Mus musculus: one gene and its partners. The protein of the gene in region 1 interacts with the protein of each later gene in a pairwise test. Links are inferred from orthologs where the notes say so. Each region holds a gene or a part of one and is shown in the gene's direction. Other genes may lie near its edges.

Evidence for each region.
Region 2: the proteins of Mkrn3 (region 1) and Tchp interact in binary tests that used the Homo sapiens proteins (3 or more experiments, as listed by UniProt). The two-hybrid records come from large-scale screens. The link is inferred for Mus musculus from reciprocal best matches to the Homo sapiens genes MKRN3 and TCHP.
Region 3: the proteins of Mkrn3 (region 1) and Enkd1 interact in binary tests that used the Homo sapiens proteins (3 or more experiments, as listed by UniProt). The two-hybrid records come from large-scale screens. The link is inferred for Mus musculus from reciprocal best matches to the Homo sapiens genes MKRN3 and ENKD1.
Region 4: the proteins of Mkrn3 (region 1) and Sfn interact in binary tests that used the Homo sapiens proteins (3 or more experiments, as listed by UniProt). The two-hybrid records come from large-scale screens. The link is inferred for Mus musculus from reciprocal best matches to the Homo sapiens genes MKRN3 and SFN.
Region 5: the proteins of Mkrn3 (region 1) and Fam110a interact in binary tests that used the Homo sapiens proteins (3 or more experiments, as listed by UniProt). The two-hybrid records come from large-scale screens. The link is inferred for Mus musculus from reciprocal best matches to the Homo sapiens genes MKRN3 and FAM110A.

What each region holds. Positions count from the first base shown.
Region 1 is NC_000073.6:62,416,781-62,421,806, reverse strand, and holds Mkrn3 (probable E3 ubiquitin-protein ligase makorin-3), read left to right. Parts: upstream 1-1,653; 5' UTR 1,654-1,765; coding exon 1,766-3,400; 3' UTR 3,401-4,214; downstream 4,215-5,026. UniProt on the Homo sapiens protein: E3 ubiquitin ligase catalyzing the covalent attachment of ubiquitin moieties onto substrate proteins.
Region 2 is NC_000071.6:114,706,431-114,710,578, forward strand, and holds the start of Tchp (trichoplein keratin filament-binding protein), read left to right. Parts: upstream 1-1,348; 5' UTR 1,349-1,530; intron 1,531-2,223; coding exon 2,224-2,408; intron 2,409-2,603; exon of another isoform or gene 2,604-2,782; intron 2,783-2,876; coding exon 2,877-3,087; intron 3,088-3,119; exon of another isoform or gene 3,120-3,196; intron 3,197-4,148. UniProt on the Homo sapiens protein: Tumor suppressor which has the ability to inhibit cell growth and be pro-apoptotic during cell stress. Inhibits cell growth in bladder and prostate cancer cells by a down-regulation of HSPB1 by inhibiting its phosphorylation.
Region 3 is NC_000074.6:105,705,409-105,709,415, reverse strand, and holds the start of Enkd1 (enkurin domain-containing protein 1), read left to right. Parts: upstream 1-1,207; 5' UTR 1,208-1,259; exon of another isoform or gene 1,260-1,492; 5' UTR 1,493-1,507; coding exon 1,508-1,592; intron 1,593-1,672; coding exon 1,673-1,867; intron 1,868-2,677; coding exon 2,678-2,850; intron 2,851-4,007. Other genes in the region: 4933405L10Rik (uncharacterized protein C16orf86 homolog), read right to left, coding at 1-16, 403-620, 901-984. UniProt on the Homo sapiens protein: Microtubule-binding protein which regulates microtubule organization and stability. Promotes the stability of astral microtubules and facilitates the proper orientation of the mitotic spindle.
Region 4 is NC_000070.6:133,600,056-133,603,664, reverse strand, and holds Sfn (14-3-3 protein sigma), read left to right. Parts: upstream 1-1,496; 5' UTR 1,497-1,895; coding exon 1,896-2,642; 3' UTR 2,643-3,109; downstream 3,110-3,609. UniProt on the Homo sapiens protein: Adapter protein implicated in the regulation of a large spectrum of both general and specialized signaling pathways. Binds to a large number of partners, usually by recognition of a phosphoserine or phosphothreonine motif.
Region 5 is NC_000068.7:151,977,420-151,981,346, reverse strand, and holds the start of Fam110a (protein FAM110A), read left to right. Parts: upstream 1-1,127; 5' UTR 1,128-1,354; intron 1,355-3,927.

The sequences.
Region 1 (5,026 bases):
CTTTAAAACAATATAAGCTTTTCAACCTTTATGTTCATTTCAGAGTCCACATTTTAAAATACCTCATATCAAAATTTTCTTAAGCATATGTAGAACATACCTAATAGATCTTTATTTTTGTTTCTGATATTTTTACTAATCTATCTATCTATCTATCTATCTATCTATCTATCTATTTATGACCATTTAATGAAAGTTTCAAGTTTCATATTCAAATCTTTTCCCCACTCTCATCTGCTAGTTCTTACTTAGGTCTTTTATAAATTAGTGGCACTAAAAACATCTCATTGTTTTGAGGTTTCTTATTACTTAATGTCAGTTCTTTTGAAGTATGTGATGCTGGAGATCTGAGCCTTTTATTATTTTCCTTCATAAGTTACACAAGAAAAATTTTGCCTATTCTATTGTTCTTATTTCATGTTTACTTTGACTTCATCCCCCCTTATCTATATTGTTTGATTATGTTCCTCTTATCTTGTTTTATCGTTGTTGGATTTATTTAGTTGAGACTTATATTTTGAGTTGGATGATTATATCATATGCTTTCAGAGTTTTTTAACCTTAGGTTGTGAGACTCCTTCCAATAAAATTATTTTTCTGAGCATAATTTCATTTTTTTAAATAGTAAATAAAATATTTGAAGCATTGCTAATTCAAGTTAGTGGGTGAGGAAAGGAAGAAAGCATGATTATTACTAAAAATAAAAACCCACGTAAAACTATACTATAAAATTTAGTATGCCACTGTAGTAAGTACATGTAGCAGTGTAGAACTACATATAAAATTATTAGCCCAATAGTATATATCTGCAAAATGAAAAGAAAAAGAAAAAGAACTGGCTCAGTGCAGAAATGGAAATGAGACACTTTGGGGTGCAAAGAGGAGCTGGTATTATGAAAAGCTCTGTAGAGCAGAATGGGATGAAAAGGAAGGCAGGGAACAAAGGGTCTCCGAATCCAACCAACAGAGAAAAGTTAAAGCCTGGGTCATTCTCAGACCTTGCCTTATTAAGTCTTCATCAGGGTTGGGCAAAGTCCAGGCTTCTACATTGTTGGGGGTCCGGGAGAATGTAACAAAGGCAGGAAAGTGAAAGGCTCTGAGTAGCCTCGGGGCAGGGGATTCCCTCCTAATTAAAGTGCACGCAAATTAACCCTTCAAGGGAAAAAAAGACCCAAAGAATCCTGTCAGATCTACAAGCATTGAAGGAGAAACGCTTTGGCAGGGACACTGTCCGATCTTAAAAATTAGTAGCCTATAAACAAACGACAGAAGAAACTGAAAAATAATTTTTAATGTGAGTGAAATGTTTTATGTTCAAGCAGCAGACGGTAAAGGCAATGTGTGTAGCGTTTTCTTAACACACACACACAAATAAACTGCAATGTATACAACTGAAACCTGGAGAGTTTAAAACATCAACCTTGAGGGGAAACACTGTGGAAACGGGGATTGGGGGGTTCAGAGTCGCACTTAGAAAGCCGGCAGAAGCCCATCCCAGTGTCTCAAGCAGAAACAGGCACGCGAAAAACATGGCGGAAGCAACTTCCGGTGAAGCCCTAGGAATGGTGTTACAACCGGAAGTGTCCGCCTGCCTGTAAACAGGTAGGAACTAAAGTTTCCAGGGAACGGGGAGCAGGTGGGAAGACAAAAATCGATGCACTTCGCTCCGAGAAGAAGCTGGTCGAGCCATCTCCAGCTCCGCAATTCAAGCACAAAAAAGATATAATATTCGGGTTTTTGGACAGTGTTAGAGGCACGCTGTAAGATGGAAGAGTCTACAGCTCCCATTGAGGCCCACGCGGCCGCCGGCGCCGAGGCAGGTGCTGAAGGGGGGGAGGGTGTGTCTGTTCCCCCCCCTCCTCAGTTTGAGGCTGCTGGAGCTTCTGCGGGAGTCAGCTCGGCCCCTCTGCAGCAGGCATCGGGTCTGGCACCGCTCCTGGTGACTCCAGGCCCAGCGATCCGGCGCGCGGCGAGTTTGAGGCCAGCGCCAGCCGAAGGGGGCGGGGCCCGGTCTGGTCCGGAGCGCAACAGTGGCAGCTGGACGAAGCAAATCCTCTGCAGGTATTATCTGCATGGGCAGTGCAAGGAGGGCGATAACTGTCGCTACTCTCACGACCTTTCTGGGCGGCGGAGATCTAGGGGGGGGCAAGATGCTCAGCCTCGGGCCTCTGCAGACAGAGGACCCAAGATGGCCACTCGCTGGGAGCCCCCGACTCAGGAAGTGGCGGAAGCCCCCCCTGCTGCATCCTCAAGCTCCTTGCCTCTGATTGGCTCGGCTGCTGAAAGGGGCTTCACTGAAGCTGAGATTGACAATGCAGGCATTCGCTCAGCTGCTGAAAGGGGCTTCTCTGAAGCCGAGATTGACAATGCAAGCCTTGCAGCAGGTGCTGCAGCGGGAGCGGGTGCAGAAGGCTGGGAGGGGGCAATTGAATTTGTTCCTGGACAGCCTTACCGAGGTCGCATGGTCCCCCCGCATGGTCCCGAGGCTCCTCTGCAGAGCCCGGCAATTGAGAGAGAGCATATGGCTATGGGCATGGGGATGCCGATGCCAGTGCCAATGCCAATGCCAGTGCCAATGCCAGTGCCAATGCCGCTGCCGCTTTGCCGCTATGCTGCCCGGGGACAATGCCTCCGTGGGGACAGGTGTGCATACCCCCATGGAGAAATATGCGACATGTGCGGGCAGCAGGCCTTGCACCCTTGGGATGCAGCTCAGCAGGAAGCTCATAGAAGGGCCTGCGTTGAAGCACACGAGAGAGATATGGAACTCTCTTTTGCTGTGCAGCGCAGCATGGACAAAGTGTGTGGCATCTGCATGGAGGTGGTCTATGAGAAAGCTGACCCCAGCGACCGCCGCTTTGGCATTCTTTTCAGCTGCAACCACACCTACTGTCTTAGGTGTATCCGCAGGTGGAGAAGTGCCACACAGTTTGAGAACAGGATCAGTAAGTCCTGCCCACAGTGCAGGGTCTCCTCTGGCTTTGTCATTCCTAGTGAGTTTTGGGTGGAGGAGGAAGAGGAGAAGGAGAAACTTGTTCAGCAGTATAAGGAGGGGATGAGCCAGAAAGCGTGCAGGTATTTTGCTGGAGGCCTAGGTCACTGCCCATTTGGAGAATTCTGTTTTTACAAGCATGAATACCCCGAGGGCTGGAGAGATCAGCCTCCAAGACCAGATGGTGGTGGATCATCAAGCGCATACTGGCATCAAGTTTTGGAGCCTGTGCAGTTGCGAGAGGGAAACGTGCTGTTTAAAAGCCGTAAAAAAGAGCATTCTGTGCTTCGCCTGGCCAATCAGTTGCTTAAGAAGTTGCTTTGCCTGAGAGGCAGTTCTTCCTTCTCTGATGACCGTTGGCTCTTGCTTCAGTACCAGCTGGAAGAATATTTCAGTTTGAATCTGTAGTATCACGCTGTGGCATGTGGTCTGGTCTGCTAAAGCTCTGTTGTCTGCTGTTGCTTATTCCCCTTTATTGACTGAAAAACCCTATCGCTTTCAAAGGCTACTGAGGCAATCTTTATGCAGTATTGCTGTTTTCTTCTCTATTTCCTATTTCTTCTTGCTAGGATTGTGATGTTTCTCTGTGTTACAAAATAACAAGAAATCTTATAAGTATTGTTTGGTGGAATTAATATTTCTGTCAACTGATGACTTGTGATGTCTTTTTTCCAACAGGATTCAATCACTTCTAGTCTAGTGTTTACAGTTTCTCATTGTGAAGTCCCTTAAGAGTAAATGTGACAAGGTGACAAAAGTCTTTAACTGAATTATGAGCTTTTTGCTATATAGCCTTAAAAAAAATGGACCCTTACAGGACCTTGCAGCTGCTGTCTGTGTTTGTTTACATGTTTGTTTCTTCCCTTCTCTTTCAAGTGCACTTGTTAACTTGTGGTTACTTTGTGGTTCTGTTTTACTTGACCAAAATGAGGTGCATATGTTTACATGTTTTTATCCTGTTTGGCTTGATGTGAAATTATTTATATTTGGAAATATATATTTAAGAATGATATATATGCGTATATGTATACAAAGATGTATTTGAAAAAAACTGGAAATAAATATACACCATAATATATATGTTTGAAGTATTGAAATAAATGCAGAACTGAAAGCCCAGTGTTAAAGTCCAAGTGTGTGGGCTGTATGTGAATTGTGTGGATAATCTGCCCCTGCACTGATGTCAGTGATTAGCATCTAATAAAAATGACTGCTAAGTGTGGATCTGACTCTTTTTTTAATGGATTTACAAAACATGACTTCGAAAATTCCTACAATACCATTAACAGCTTCCTGGTGTTATAATAATGAAACAGTGCCTCACATGAAGTTACCATCTCATTTTTCTTGACAGAGACAATTCCTGAACTTAAACATAGAGTTGTTTGTTTTTAATATCTTAAAAATCTGGTTATTGTATAATTTATAAGCAAAGAACTTTTGAAAAAAGGTTTTCAAAATAAAAATTGTACAATAATGAAAGAAAATCGTAATAAGTAAATATGAGAATGGAAATAAAGTGAGGCATAGGAATTTTAAAATGTTAAACAGAATCATTTTGGAAACTTCTAGTACGAATAAGCCCTAATTTGATGTAAAAGCCATTTACTTATCAAGGGATACTTAAAGTGAAAATACATTCTACCTAAAATGCACAATTAAAATACAAAATCAGGAGTTTGAGGGGAGTAACTGTACAGTGACTGTACTGTAAGTATGATAGTTCAATTTTCTACTAAACATTCCTGGAGAAGAGAAGTGTAAAATCATTAAATTTTACTTGATCTGGAATATATAACTTCATTTTGTCTACCCATTTACTTTGACACAAGCAAGTGAATATAGAAATGGCACAGTTCACGTGTGTAGTAGAGAGTATTACCACATCGTTTAGTAAGTGAATAGAAAAACTTTTGTTTCACTGAACAGTGCAGATTTAAACCTCAGAATTGTATAGAACACAATGTGTTTTCCTTGACTGAAATTGCCAAAAAATGTGTCTTAGTTCTCTGGTGTACACCATGTGCCAATTAT
Region 2 (4,148 bases), on another chromosome or scaffold:
CTGCAGGTTTGAACCTGGTTATTGGCTGTGGAGAGCCAACAACACTGTACAGCCAGCTCCAGGTGAAACAGAAACATCAGGCAGGCACCACGAGGAACAACAGAATGGAGGAGTGAGAGAGCAGAAAAACTTGGGAAGCAGAGGCAGAAGGAAGTGGGTGGGAAAATAGAAGAAAAAAGAATGATCGAAGCTGGGCAGTGGTGGCGCATGCCTTTAATCCCAGCACTTGGGAGGCAGAGGCAGGCGGATTTCTGAGTTTGAGGCCAGCCTGGTCTACAGAGTGAGTTCCAGGACAGCCAGGGATACACAGAGATACCCTGCCTCAAAAGGAACAAAACAAAACAAAACAAAAAGGAATGATCGAATATTTATCTATATCTTTACATTCTCGTGGAGGGCACTATTTTAGTATTATTTAGTAAAGTAAAATACTATTTTAATATTGTACATTATTTTAGGGCTTGAACTCAGAGCTTTGAGCATGCTACATATGCCCAATCCCTTTTTATGTCTTTCTCTTTTTACTGGTATTAGGTAGTTAATGCATGGACGTAAGCAACCATGCGAGTTACAGTTATTAAAACCTTTGTACCCAAGCCGGGCATGGTGGCACACACCTTTAATCCCAGCACTCAGGAGGCAGAGGCAGGTAGATTTCTGAGTTTGAGGCCAGCCTGGTCTACAAAGTGAGTTCCAGGACAGCCAGGGCTATACAGAGAAACCCTGTCTCGAAAAACCAAACCAAACCAAACAAAAAAACAAAAAACTTTGTACCCACTACCAATTTTTTTTAAAGATTTATTTATTTATTATATGTAAGTGTAGCTGTCTTCAGACACTCCAGAAGATGGAGTCAGATCTCATTACTGATGGTTGTGAGCCACCATGTGGTTGCTGGGATTTGAACTCCAGACCTTCACAAAGCCACCGTCAGAAGAGCAGTCGGGTGCTCTTACCTACTGAGCCATCTCACCAGCCCCTCACCACCAATCTTAAGGCTACAGTAGTGTACCAATGACGGAGGTCATTACAGAGGCCAGCGGTTCTCGGGTTCTCGGCCTCCGTTGCCTACGGGACACACCCGCGGATCTTTGCAAATCATTTATTTCCTCACTCTGGCCAGGGGATGATTCTCATTAAACCTACCCTCACTCCTCCACCTTCCTCCGGTAACCCCACCCCCACCCCCCCACCCCCACCCATCATCCTGACTGGGTCACTAAGGTTTCTTTTCCTTACCCTACATCAAGGACTAACAAGTACTGTCGATTTACCTCCCACCGCCAGGTGGCGCCAGAGAAAAAAACCACCCACCATTCCTTTTTCCTGGAGAGCGGCGGGTGTCGCGCGGGAGGAAGTTTGTCCATCGCCGTGCTCCGTTGTCCCGCGGGCTGCCCGGCAACCGGCGAGGAAACGGCTGGCGTCTGTGCAGTGGGCGCCTGGGGACCCTCGGAGCGAGCGGGCGCGTGATCGAGCTAAGGCCGGCGACCCTTCTCCGCGAACTTCGGACACGGAGTGCATGAGTCAGAGGTTAGGCTGGGCCGAGGGGCGGGGACGTGGCATCCTTGTAGCCGCGGGACCTGTAAAAAGTTGTATGCCTAGCGCTTGGCACATACCCGTCATCTTCACATCATTGTCGCAGGTTATTTCTGCTTGCTTTTTGAGACAGGGGGCTTTCTGGTTTGCTCAGGTTGGCTTTGAACTCCTGGACTCAAGTGATCTCTTCACGCCTCGGCTTCCAAAGTACGCGGGACCGCTGGGGCATGCCCCTGGGACCTGCTTGTCACTGTAGTTTTTATGCAGAATGTAAAAAACCTCTATTTCCTATCCCAGGCATGTCAGGACATTTTCTATGTCTGCAATCTCCCTGATAATGGCTGGCCACTACTGGACACAGTGCACGTTTATTTAAATTGATAATTTGCAGCCTTGGTGGCAAATCTTTTAAAACTTTCTGGCATGGGCCTCCTTCACAAAATTTGATCATTCGGTTGTCCTAGGGTGGGAACGTGGGCCTTAAAGCTGTGAGAAAGGTGCAGCCAAGGGGCGAGTGACATCAATAGAGAGAGGAGGCATCCGAGTGGGAGTGGGGCTTTAAAACTGTGAGAAAGGTGCAGCCAAGGGGCGAGTGACATCAATAGAGAGAGGAGGCATCCGAGTGGGAGGGGGGCGGTCCCTGGCTTTACAACTGGCTTACTTTCTGCCCACTGCTGTTTCCTTCAGATGGCTCTCCCCACGTTGCCCTCTTATTGGTCCAGCCGGAAACACATGGATCTTCGCCAGCGCCAGCATCAGCAGGAGGACCAGTTTCGCCAGCAGTGGGAACAGAACAGTCGCTATTTCAGGACCTGGGACATCCACAACTCGAAACAGATCGAATGGAGCTCCAAGATCTCCTACCAGCGGAGGCAAGTGTCTGTGTGTTGTCCTGCCCACTGGTTCCTACCACGGTTCGGGGAATGTAGCCTAGGGGCTTAGGGACTGTGGCTTGAATTATCTCCTGATGATGCTGGAAACTGTGCTGTGCTGGGGAGAAGTACTGTACATTTTGTTTTTTGTTTTTTGTTTTTGTTTTTGTTTGTTTTTTTGATTTTTCGAGACAGGGTTTCTCTGTGTAGCCCTGGCTGTCCTGGAACTCACTCTGTAGACCAGGCTGGCCTCGAACTCAGAAATCCACCTGGCTCTGCCTCCCAAGTGCTGGGATTAAAGGCGTACGCCACCATGCCCGGCAGTACTGTACATTTTAAAAGATAAACCAGAAGGCAGCGCTAGTGTCTTCTCGGTAGGTGTTTAGCCCCCCCCCCCAAGAATTACATAGAAATGTACATCAAACTGTGACCTGGTGTGACTGATGTCCAGGGAACTCCTTAACCTAGCATGCACGCCTACCATTGTGAGAAGATGAAGGAGGAGAAGAGGAAGATTCTGGAGCTCCGGCGGGAGAGGCTCAGAGAGCTTCTCCTGGAGGAACAGGACTTGCTGGCTGCGGAGCTGGATGAGCTCAGGCTGAGCATGGGCCTGCGGGAGCAAAGGCTCCGCGAGCAGCACCAGGACCTGAAGTCAGCCCGAGAAGAACAGAGGAAGCTGGTAACTACCCTAGTCCGGAAGCAGGTTGCAGGGCGGTAGCATCCCCGCCGGAACGGACGAGTGCGCCTACGGGGTTGTTCTCGGGTGCCTGTTCCGACGAGATGGTCAGGTGACTAGAGCCCATGGGGAAAACCGCCTCCAACCCCCCACCCCCACCCCCCAGAGAGGAAAGGCTTATTTTTAGCTCGTGGTTTCTGAGGGTCTCCAGCGATTGTAATGAGGAAGGCATGGAGCCTGTGACCAATGGAGCTCAAGTTGCGCTGGCTCAGGAAACAGGATGTTAGGAAGAGGGTTCAGAGACCCACCACAGTGGACTGTTGCCGCCAGCTAGTACCTCATCCCCTTAAACGCCCCCTGCCTCCCCTGAACAGTGCTGGAAGCTAGGGAGCAGTTGTTTTCAATGTTGCTTTTGCTGTTTTGAAACGGTCTCACTGTGTAGTCCTGGTTTGCCTGGAACTTTGTTTATAGACTAGCCTGGCCTCAGAGTCCCAGAGATCTGCCTGCCTCTGCCTCCCACGTGCTGGGATTAAAGGTGGATCACCGGCCTGGACCAGAGCAAGCCTTTGAAATGTGAGCCGTGTTGAGTTGAGATTCAGCACGTAACAATGATCTGAACCTCATTTGGTAACCTGTTAGTGCCAGCTGGGGTGTATAACCACGTTTTGTTGGCCCTTTGAGGATGTAGTCCAGGTTGGCCAGCAGTGGCTGTCCCACAGCAGACAGACCAGAAATCCCGCAGTTGTTGAGCCCATGAGGCTCAGATATCTCTGCGCTTCCTGCCTGGTGCTGGAGTCTGGGAGGGTTTCTGCAGAACATCTGGCTTTCAGTCTGTGTTAGGACCCTGAAGAAGTTGGAGGTCATTGTAACCTCACGCTTTCCCACCTGGCCTCTTTGTTCCCTGAAATAACAATTCTGAGATTTTTTTTATCTATGAATAAACGCCTACGCCAATAGCTTTGGCTTGTTCCCACGAGCTTATAACTCAGTCATCCTGTTTAAACTAGCCTAAGCCGTGCCACGCTGTTAGTTACCTCTGCTCAGGTTCATGTGTCTGTCTCTGC
Region 3 (4,007 bases), on another chromosome or scaffold:
CAGCTCAACTTCTGACCTAGGATGGACATGGTGCTTGGCCCTGGGAGGGCTGGGGAACCCAAACCTGGGACAAGAGGCCTGAAAGAGGCAGGCTTCAGTCTTTGGTTCCTATATCTTGAGCCTAGGGCTTACCCCTGCCTGTCCACTAGAGCTAGTTAGCTGTCCATTTCTTAGACAGTGAAGCTCCAAGCCCAGTAGAGGCTCAGCATTTATGGTAGCTCAGTCTCCTTGCAAGATCTAGAAGTCCCAAATCCATACCAACCCCCCAGCCCCCAAGTTCTAGAGTTGGGAGTGAGGGGTATTGGTCAAAGACAAGAATCTCTGCCTTGAAGGAATGGGGATTTAGGAATCTCCGGGCATAAGACCCACCTTCCCAGCCCTTCCCTCCGAAAGCCCTCTCACTTTCTCTTGGGCCCATGAGCTGGTCTCACGATGGATGACGTAGGCTTGGGTCCTCTCTCCTCTCCTGCTTCCACCCCTGCATTGAGCCCTTCCTCTCCCACCTTTATTCCTTCCTCCTGGAGCTCTGGCTCTAAGCTGTGCCCCACGGGACACTTGTCTTCGCCTGGGCTCCTGCAGGTCTCATGTGCCGGCACCAGACACTCTTCTGTTCCTGGACACTAGAAGATACACATAGGTCATTGGGAGCCGATGGCCAGGCAAAGTATTGTGGGGATCAGTTATTCAAAGCCCAAAGCTGCTGCAATTGGAGTACATCTCCCTTGGTTGGGGGGGTGGTGGTGTCTCCTAACTACATATTGGCCACAAAATATGAAGGTAACCAGCTTAGGCCTCTCTACTTGTAGGGCTTGGCCTGGCAGTTAGAGGGTTGGGTTACCTAGAGTCCCACCTCTCCTGCCCTACCCCTCCATCTCCCGAGCTTTGAAATGCCCAAGTCACCTCAAGGCTCTCTGCAACCTGGGCTAACCCTACTGCTGCCCCATTCTGGGTTTCTGGCTGCCTCTTGGCCCCTTCTGAGGCCATAGGCTATGAGGAATCAGTGCATCCCTCGACAGTTGATCAGAGAAAACCTCAGGCCCAGAGCGGGGCTGGACTGGTACTCAGTGCTGGTAGGGGAGACAGGTTGAGAGGTAAGGCTCCTGTTGAGACCCGAGACTTAGAATCACTCCTCATCTGGAACTACAAACCCCAGAAGGCTGTTCGCCTTAGTCATTTGACCCCTGACCTCAGGAAGCCATTTGTTGCCAAGCAACAGCAACTCCTACCGGCTTGCAACAGTTGGCGGTAAAACTGCTCCAGTGAGAGCCCTCGCTGGGGCTTGGCGGGGGAGGGGCGGCGAACCCCTCTGGGCAGTGGGCTAGTCGCGGGGCGGTGGTACAGTCTGCGCCTAGAGACGGGCGGTCGTCGAGGGGTGGGGCTCGGTGATGGGGGCTACCGCGGGGATGCAGGGCTCGGGTGGAGGGTGGAAGCACCCGACAGGGATTAGAGGGGAAAGTTGCGCAGCGCAACAGGCCCTGGTGCACTGTTGCAGGGCTGCGGTAGGATCATGTGCGAGGGCCCGTCCCGCATCTCTGGACCCATCCCCCCAGACCCCACTCTCTGCCCGGACTACTACCGGCGGCCGGCCTCGGGTGAGTTGCGGGGTGCCTCGGCGGGGCGAGTACCCCGCCCCACCCCTGAGCACGGCTTTCCACCGCGTCTTGCTCCTCAGCCCAAGGACGCCTGGAAGGAAACGCGTTGAAGCTGGACCTGCTGACTTCAGGTCGGGACCTGGACTCCAGTCCTCCTCGTGGCCCTCGCATCAGGCCTGAAGCCCGAGAGATCCTAGAGCGTGGCCAGCGAGGCGTGGGGGACGTGCTGCTGCAACTGGGGTGCATCTCCCTCGGTTCGGGGGTCTCTCCTAAGAGTAAGTCCTTGCAGACGGGGTATTGAGGCATTCTTAGGTCAAAAGCAGAGATTAAAATAGGGTGCTTCTTAATTGCCTTGAGCCCATGCAGTTAATGTTCTTTTCTGGGTCTTAGTTTCTCTAGCATAAAAGAAGGGCAAAATACAATACCTCCTGGCAGGATCAGAGTCTATCCTTCTGCAGAAAGCCCTCGCTTCAAGCTTTCACACCTTGATGGAGCATTGTTTACTTAGTGCCTACTTTGTGCCAAACCCTGTAGCTGTTAGGAAAACGGGGTTAAAAAGTATGGGAGTCGTCCCAGGGTAGGGTAGTATCCAAGGGAGGCTTCCCCTTCTCTGAGGAGAAGAGAAAGGGGTAATGGGGGGGGGGGGATTTGGCACAGGCAGGACTGGGAGTAGAGGGGCTACAATTGGGATGTGTGAATTTAAAAAAAATTGGCGGGGGGAGTATGGGAGTCACAGTTGGAGGCAATGAACAAGACAGGCCATGTGTATAATATACACGGTGATTAATGGTATGCTAAATCATAAAATGTAGAAGATAACCAGGAGGGTGACTGTGGAAGGGAATAAGCTGATAACTGTGCTGTGGGTATGATGTCTAACTTCCATGAAGAGGCCTTGGTTGTATTTAAAAATGTGTGTGTATGTGTGTGTGAACCCAGGGCCTCTCTTCTACCAGACATCTCCCAGATTGTCTGAGAGGTCTTTCTGCCAAGGGTAGGGTGTGAATCTATATTCGATCTAGTCCGAGGTGCATGGCCATTTGGTAGGGCTGTCCCTAGCAATATTCCTCCCTGCACCCTTCCAGGGAAGAATCCAAAGGACCATGAGAAGGAAAACTTGAGGCGGATCAAAGAGATTCAGAGGCGCTTCCAAGACCAGGAACGCAGCCGGGAACAGGGTCAGCCTAAGCCACTGAAGGCACTGTGGCGCTCACCCAAGTATGACAATGTGGAGTCTCGAGTCAAGGCCAGGATGAAGGTATCTGTCCCAGGGAGGCAGACCTATCCATCTTGGCCAAGGCAATTATATCTGATCTAACTTACAGAGCATGTGTGTGCGTGCGTTCATGAGTGCGTGCGTTGGGGGAGATGGTGATCACAAAAGACTAAGACATCTGGGTGGACTTTCTCTGGGGAGCTGATGGCATCAGGTCAAGGATTAGGCTAGAGGAAGAGAACATTCCACAGAGATAAAACCCCACAGGTAGATTCTGGCATCAGAGGGAGTAGGGGCAATGGGCATAGTGGGCATAATTCAGTTTGTAAGGGGGAGAAGCAGAAGGTTTGAACAGAAAGCCAGCAGGGTACATATCTGAAAGAACTACCTAAGTTACCTAGTTACATGTGATATTGGAGATGGAATCGTGAGACACATGCACACTAGGTACTCATATAATATACCCACGACCTTCCTGCTAACTCATTCTCGGTTCCCCTATCTCTGTGTCTCTGTTTCACGCAGCCCAGGCTGACCTCAAACTCTTTGACTTTCTTTTTTGTTTTGTTTTTGTTTTGGTTTTTTTTTTTTTCGAGACAGGGTTTCTCTGTATAGCCCTGGCTGTCCTGGAACTCACTTTGTAGACCAGGCTGGCCTCAAACTCAGAAATCCGCTTGCCTCTGCCTCCCAAGTGCTGGGATTAAAGGCATGGGCCACCACGCCGGGCTACTCTTTGACTTTCTAACTCTCCTTTGTCCACCTCCTGAGCGCTGGGATTAAAAGTGTTCACTACCACACTACTTTCTCTTTTTCTTTTAATTCATTCATGACTTCTTTGAGATTAAAAAAAAAAATTACATGTCTGTGTGGCTACATGATTGTCTGTGCACCAGAGTCCAGAGGAGGGGATGGGCCTCCTGGGACTGGAGTTACAGAGAGCTGTGAACTGTCCTGTGCTATTGCTGAGTTGTTTCCTACTCCCACCCCCAACCATACCCCACCCCCACCCCACTATCTCCACTGCTACTTTGTTTCTAGACAGAGTCTCCCTGTGTAGCCTAGAATAGCTTCAAACCCATTATGTAGCCCAGGCTGGCCTTGAACTGGCCTAATTTTCCTGCCTTAGTCTACCGGGTTTGGACCACCACTCTCAGCTCATTTCTTTGAGTTTATAGCTTGCTCTTTAGCCCCAGGCTCTC
Region 4 (3,609 bases), on another chromosome or scaffold:
ACACACTAGCAGGGACTCTACCAACCAAGACACACTCCCAGCCTCTGCTTTTCCCCAGGGTGGGGGTAACATGTTTCCCTTGTGGCAAAGCCAGTCACCAACTGGCATGTCCCCTGTGTGAGTTTAAATGCTCAGACTCTAGCCGTACACTACCGTGGTCTTCCCTAACTTGATGTTTTACTGTAGTTCTGTGCCTGTGCCATGAGTTAGGCAAAGCACGCAAGATCTCAGGACAGAAATCCCATCTGCTTCCTGGGAGAACCTGTAAAATTAGCCAGGACCCTGAAGTCTCTCAAGAGCCCCTACTCCGTGGCCCAAGCACATTCCAGCCTGTTCAGGGTTCTGGCCTACAACACCTCTCCCGGAGGCAAGGCGAGTGCTCAGACACTGTGAGGAGACAGGCAAGGTTGTGCAATAGTCCTGCTTCAAGGGTTAGACTGGCTGGGTCCTAGGAAGAAACTTCTTTAGAAGGAACCACGGAGTCCCATCTAAACTTGAAGAATGTGGTGGGGCACATAAGCAGGAACACACCCTCAGTGCCCATTCTTATCATGGGCCTTGAAAATAGGGCCCAACCAATCAGGGATGGAAGATTGGGAACAAAGTGATCTCCATCTCCAAGGAGACTTCTCTCAGGGGTCAGAGGCAGAGTCTTGAAGGGACTTGAGAACCTCTGGGAGCCAAGTGAGGGATCATACTGGGCTGGAATCACACACTGCGCCATAAAACAAAATGGAATGTGCCATTCCCAGCTCCTTTCCCTCAGCCCTGTCTTCCTCCCCAGGTTGATAGCGTCCCCCCTGGGGGACCAAACTGGACTGAGCACCCAGGTGGCCTGCTTCCCAGCCTCTGACAGAGGTAATCTGAGTCAGGCAGGGGAGTGGGACAGTCAAAGAGTTAGGCCCCCACCCTCTGGGAACCCTGCCGATACATGACGACAGGCAGCTTGGAAGGGACGGGTGACCCGATGTGGAGAACCAGAGAGTAAAGTCTCAGACAAGTGTCAACAGGCCACCAACTTGAAAGGGAAAATTGTGCTGTAAGGGGGAAGGTGTCCAACAAACATATTGGGTGACTAATTACAAAGGCTGGGCTGGAGCGTCAGAGGCCGCTCGTTAAACACTTCATTAAGTGGCACCCTGAGATGCCACCTGCGCATCTGGGGTGTTCATAGGGCATCTTGAGGGAGAACAAGGACCAAGGGATGGAGCTATCTTCAGGCCGGCTCAGCTAATGGCCCCCAAAGAGAGCCAAGAGGAAGAGGGGACACGGAGGGGGAGGGGTTTAAGGGAGCTGGCAGCTTGTGACCTCAAACTGGTTTGGTTCACCCCTGAGACTTGATAGTTCTACCTCTACAGTCCTACAGAGCCAATTCGGGGGTTGGGGGTAGTTGCATCAGATCATGGATGCGCAAGTTTGGGGGAAACTGTACAGCCCTACCTATACATGAGTTCTCACCTGAACTGTCCCAGCTCCCTGGGCTCTGCCTGGGCTAAAGCAGCTCGGTGGCTGAAGCCTGGAAGATCACCCTGAAAGACAATCTGATTTGGTAATCCAAGACGCTCCTGCAATGCAGCCAGCCCTGAACTGCAGGGGGCAGTCTGGAGCCGAAAGGTGCCTTTGCAGGTGGGACCTGCGGCCAGGTTTCTCCTGCTGACTGTCCTGGTGACTCACAGCCCCCTCCCGTCCCAGCCCTTTTACCTTAAAGGTAGAGCCGGAAAGGGTGTGGCGAAGACTAGGAGGAGGCAGGGCCCAGGCCCGCTCAGACCACGCCCAACTCTTCTCAGGGCCATGCCACCCCAGCCAAAAGGCAGAGCCAGAGCAAGGGAGCCGCAGAACCCAGCGTTACTCTCGAGACAGCCAGTTCGCCCGTCTGTCTGTCCATCCTCGCAGTCATGGAGAGAGCCAGTCTGATCCAGAAGGCCAAGTTGGCTGAACAGGCCGAACGGTATGAAGACATGGCAGCTTTCATGAAGAGCGCCGTGGAAAAGGGCGAGGAGCTCTCCTGCGAGGAGCGAAACCTGCTTTCCGTAGCTTACAAGAACGTGGTGGGCGGCCAGAGAGCGGCCTGGAGGGTCCTGTCCAGCATCGAGCAGAAGAGCAACGAGGAGGGGTCAGAAGAGAAGGGCCCCGAGGTGAAAGAGTACCGGGAGAAGGTAGAGACCGAGCTCAGAGGTGTGTGCGACACCGTACTCGGCCTGCTGGACTCGCACCTCATCAAAGGGGCTGGAGATGCAGAGAGCCGCGTCTTCTACCTGAAGATGAAGGGTGACTACTACCGCTACCTAGCCGAGGTGGCCACTGGCGATGACAAGAAGCGCATCATCGATTCTGCCCGGTCAGCCTACCAGGAGGCCATGGACATCAGCAAGAAGGAGATGCCGCCTACCAACCCCATCCGCCTGGGCCTGGCCCTGAACTTTTCAGTCTTCCACTACGAGATAGCCAACAGCCCCGAGGAGGCCATCTCGCTGGCCAAGACCACCTTCGACGAGGCCATGGCCGACCTGCACACCCTCAGTGAGGACTCCTACAAGGACAGCACCCTCATCATGCAGCTCCTGAGAGACAACCTGACGCTGTGGACAGCCGACAGTGCTGGGGAAGAGGGTGGTGAGGCTCCGGAGGAGCCCCAGAGCTGAAGCAGCCGACAACCACCCCGGCTCGCCTTGCCCTCCAGTCCCCAGCCTGCAGAGAGGACTAAAACGGAGTGGGACTCTGCCCTTCCCAAACCCTGAATGTTCAGCCACACCTTGGAAGGCTCCTTTGAAGGGGGCGCAGCCAAGCTGAAGCCACCAGGGCAGGGAATCTCACTCTTCGTGTAGCTGTCTGGTGGGTGTTCCCAACCCATCCCACCCCTGCTCTCTGCACCCCCTCCCCACTTCCTCCCCCTGAGCCTCCCTCGGGCACCTGTTGCTTCTGGATCCGAATAATCCAGGAGGCTCCCCACCCTGTGGCTGAGAACTGGACTGTGGCAAGGGCTGTGTGTGTGAGAGAGAGGGAAACTCTGTGTGTGTGTGTGTGAGAGAGAGAGAGAGAGTGAATGAGAGGGAACACGTTTGCTGGGTGTGACCATGCTACCACTCAATAAAGTTGCCCTGTGACACTCGGTCTTCTTCAGTTATTGGCCATGGGTTGAGAGTAGAATTAGAAATGAGTTAAGAGAACCGGACTCTGAAACTCTGAGCTAGGTCTGTCCCTTGGGGCTGTCTGGGTGACCTGGAAGTGAGACGAGCCTTTGGGTCGGTGTCGGTGACCTGGAAATTTTGGGTAGGGTGACTTCAGGTGAGAGGCCACCAGGAAGTCCCCGCAGCGCTTCGGCTCAGGCCAGGTGAGCACAGAGGCAGGTCAGGAGAGCAGAGGAGAGTGGGGGCTGTAGGCGGGAAAGCCGCGAAGTCAGGGAAGTTTGGGCACAGTGGCCTTAAGAGACACGCTTCACAAGTGGCACTGGGGACCTCACTTTAAGAAGCGGGAAACGGTCACGTCAAGTGCTCAGATCTGAGCCGAGGGGTGCAATCTGAGGCAGGGGCATAGTGCCTCCAATAAAACAGATCAAATAAGGGAAAGCTCCCCAAGGCCCAGGGACAAAAAGAAATCGGCTGAAGAGGA
Region 5 (3,927 bases), on another chromosome or scaffold:
AAAGTCAGTTTTTTAAAGGGTTGCAGCAGATTAGACTTGGTGCCTTTTAAAAAAACAAAAACAGGAGGAAGAGAGGGTGGGTGTAGGAGGAGTTAAGGGGAGAGAGTGCGGTAAATACGACTAAAATACACTGTGTTTATGTATTAAATTCTCAATGAATGAATAAAAGTATTATCTTTTAAGTGTAAAGGAATTAGTTGCTGTTTGTTATTGTAAATAGGCTATGTTTATTTAAATAGTATGGTTATGTATTTAATATCTATCTATGCTGTACAGAGAGTTTTGAAGTATGCTTAAAACATGACACTTCCTTAGCATTCTCCCATTGTTCTTAAATGTCGTTTAATCTAATCGTTGTAAGTTAATGCATGGTATTCCCAGCTGGAAAGCGGCGTTGAAGGTAGGTACCTCAGAGCTGGGTCATGAGTCCTGACAAGAATTATGTAGAAAGCTCGATTCAGCTTCTTTCCCAGGATCGACGTCTATAATTGATCTGGTTTTGATAAGCACAGTGGGAGCTACGGGTGTGCCCGTTTGAGGATTGACTTGCCATTTCAGGTTAGGGGAACAGAGAGGGAGAGAGGATTGTGGGTAAACACACAGAGAGGTAGCTGCTGAGTTGGAAGTAGGGCCTAGTTTGGGGGGTGGTCACTTAGTACCAACTCATGGGGAGACTTAAGTCAGGCAGCAAGTGTGAGGACTACTTGGGCAAAACGCATGAATTCCGAGTCAGCCTGGGCAACTTGGTGAGACCCTGCCTCCAAAGAAAAAAGTGAAGGGAGAGAAAGCTAGGTATGGCATAGACCTATAATCCTAGTACTAAGGAGGTTGTGGCCAGCCTGGGCTAGGCTAGTTATGTGTGAAGGCCCTGCCTCAAAACCCCAAAAATATTGGTACTAGTGCCTGTGCAAAACCAAGCAAACAAATTTGGGACTAGTAACTCTTGCAGCTGGAGACCGAGGAAGTCCAGCTGGAAGAGAAGAAAGGTCTGCCAAGGCCTGGGCAGCCGGAAGGCCAAGCGGCCAGCTGGGCTCCGGGCAGCAGTCGCCCTGCTGCATCTGCGGCTCCTGATGTTGCCTGGCAACCCGGGTGGCGCGCCGTTCGAACGGAAGCGACGGGCCAATCAGGAAGTCCGGGGCGAACCATTGCAGCAACGGGGACGGCGGGCTCACTTCCCTTTCCTCTGGGGCCCCAGGGACGTTCTCCCGGAGGGAATCGTGGGACAGCCAGGGCGTCCCACTCGGAAGAGCTCGCCGGTCTTCACACGTAGTAGCCTTCTCAGGTCTGCAGGGACCACCAGCTGTCAGCCTCGGCAGCCGGCGAGGAGCGGGATTCCTCTGGACGTGGGCTGCAGGTGAGCATGGGGGTAGGAGGCGGAGGGTCCCGGGGCAGTGCCCACGCATTAACCCGGGCAAGAGTCTCAGTACAGGGGGTCGACAGAGGAGAGTTCGTGTCTAGTGTCCAGCCCAGGGGGCCAGCAAAGGATCCAGGCTGTTTCCCTTTCCCACTCTGCAGTTCCCGCTCCTGGCCGATCAGAGGAACCCCGCGGGTTACTCTTTAAGGGGCTTATTGGGAAGACGTGGCTCAGGGGATCCCAGGGCTAGGCTACCCGTGCCCTACCGGCCCTTGGAGTTCCCCTTCAGGACATATACCATTCCCTCCCCATTCGCAACTTTTCTGCCTTACAGGGTTCTACAGAGTCCCAGTTCCCAGTGCTGCCCTCTCAGAGGGCCTCCCTGGGTTGAGTCCCTAGGACTGCAGGGCAGGGTTGAGTCCCTAGGACTGCGGATCCAAAGGCCTTGGAAGTCATGTGGATGTGTGTGTGTGTGTGTGTGTGTGTGTGTGGTACCTCTAAGCCAGAGTTGCTGGAACTGGACTTGAGAGTTGGGTGCAGGGTCAGACCCTCCCAAGTAGAGCATCTAATTTAGGCTGGACTCTTACCTACCCCCCTGTTGTTGATCTCGTTTCGTAGGTGGGGAATCTGAGGTTCTGTGAAGTTGAGGCTGTTGCTCAAAGGCACAGACTTAACTATGCAGAAGTCTTCAGTCCTTGACACAGGGAATCACCGACTCGATGGAGGATCTCTTATGAAGGGAACTACTCTTCCTCTGAGCCTCATTCTGGCTCTGGGGGAGCTGTGCTTGTCCATCTGTCTTTGTGTCATGCTCCCTACTCCAACTCTTGTATGGCCCAAGCTGGCCTCAATCTTACTATGTATGACCAGGCTGGTCTTGAACTCTCCGTCTTCCTAAATCTGCCTCCTCGGATGACAAGCATGTGCCACTGGCACACCAGTTCTGTGCCATTTTCGGGATAGAACCCAGGGCTTGGTTTGTGCTAAGAGAGCAATCTACTAGATGAGTTACACCACTGCCTCATTTCTTTCCACGTCGTCTAGCTTCCTGTAGCCTGATCTCTCCCCGAGTGTCCTGTTTTTCTCAGTAGCGTCTGTTCCATATTATGCGTGAGGTGTCTTATTAAGCAGTTTATTATCTTCCCCAGTGGAATGTGTCGGGCAAATGAGATGCTTAGCACAGGCACAAAAATGTCAGGGTGGCCGAAACTTGCAGAATCAAGATGATCAAAGCCAACATCTGTTGGCCATTTGCTGTGTATTGTGCTGGGGGTGGAGCAGGATAGGGTGGTGTCACTCAGGTGGACTCTGGCCAGCAGAGCCAGCATAGGCATTGTTATGAGCACACACACACACACTCTCTCCTCCAGCTACCTCACTTTAGGCAAAATGACAGGTGCCTCCGTGCTTCAGTGATTTGCAGCAAGCAAGAACTGGACAGACGCAGAATGGCCCTCAGTAAGGACTGATGGGAAATAATCCGAAACTCCTTAGATACTTTTGTGGCACCAAGAGGAACATAGATGACTAGCAAAGGGTCTGGGTGAGAATTACACACATAGCATGATGCGCTTTGCAATCCTGAACCCTGACTGTGGGCCAACTAATTGAGAAGACACAGACATAGTGATTACATCTACAGAAAGTTATGAGGTCACTGCCCTGCCTGGGGTTTGTCATTGGCTGTGTGAGTTTGGGCAAGTTTCTTCACATTTCTGAGCTGGGGTAAAACACTGCATGTGGAGTTCAGGCCTAGGCAGGACAGGAAGTGGGTGTGGCCACAGGCCTAATTCAAGCCTCACCTTCCTATCCTGGGTCAGGCAGGCCCTTCCCTAAGGCCTTGCTTGTTAGTCTTTCTGTCTCTCCTCTCTCCTTCTCTTCCTCCTTCACTGCAAGTCTGCCTTTGTTCCCATTTTTGTCAGGGTGCAAACTGAGTCCCCAGAGTTTGAGTTAAGTGGAGAGTGTGTGCTGGAGTGGTTCACGCAGGAGTTCACTGTCCTAGGCATCCTGGCCCCTCCCATGGCAGCCCACTCCTAACTCCTTGAGGTTTGTACAGAGCTACTCTGAGCAAGGCTGACTCCAGGGCAAGCCAGGGCATGAGCCTAGTGAAAACTCCAGAAATAGCTTGGAACCTGGCCTGCCCTGGAGAATGCCCAGCAGGGCGTCCAACCTGGACAGCTGGGCTGCCTCTTCCCCACTGCCTGGAGCCTTCTTGATCCTCTCCTGCAGCAGCCAAAGGCCTCCCTGTCTATGGAGCCTGATCCGGCTTTCCTTTGAAAGGACAGAGAAGCAGGTGGGAGGTACAGAATCGCATAAAATGATCAACCCTAGAAATCCCACCTTATACTGGGAAGAGAGGACACACGGCTGCCTGGGCTTAGAATGCTTGCCCCGTGCTGAGAACTTTAGCAGTGTGAGCTGTGATTTCGGTCCACTCTATGAAGTGAGGGGATTGCTGCTTTTAATGCATGGATGCGTATCCTGCAGCAGGCTTGTGAGAGGACACTTAAAGGAGTCAGTTCTCTCCTTCTACTGTGGCACTGAACTTGGATCCTCAGGGGACTGAACTCGGA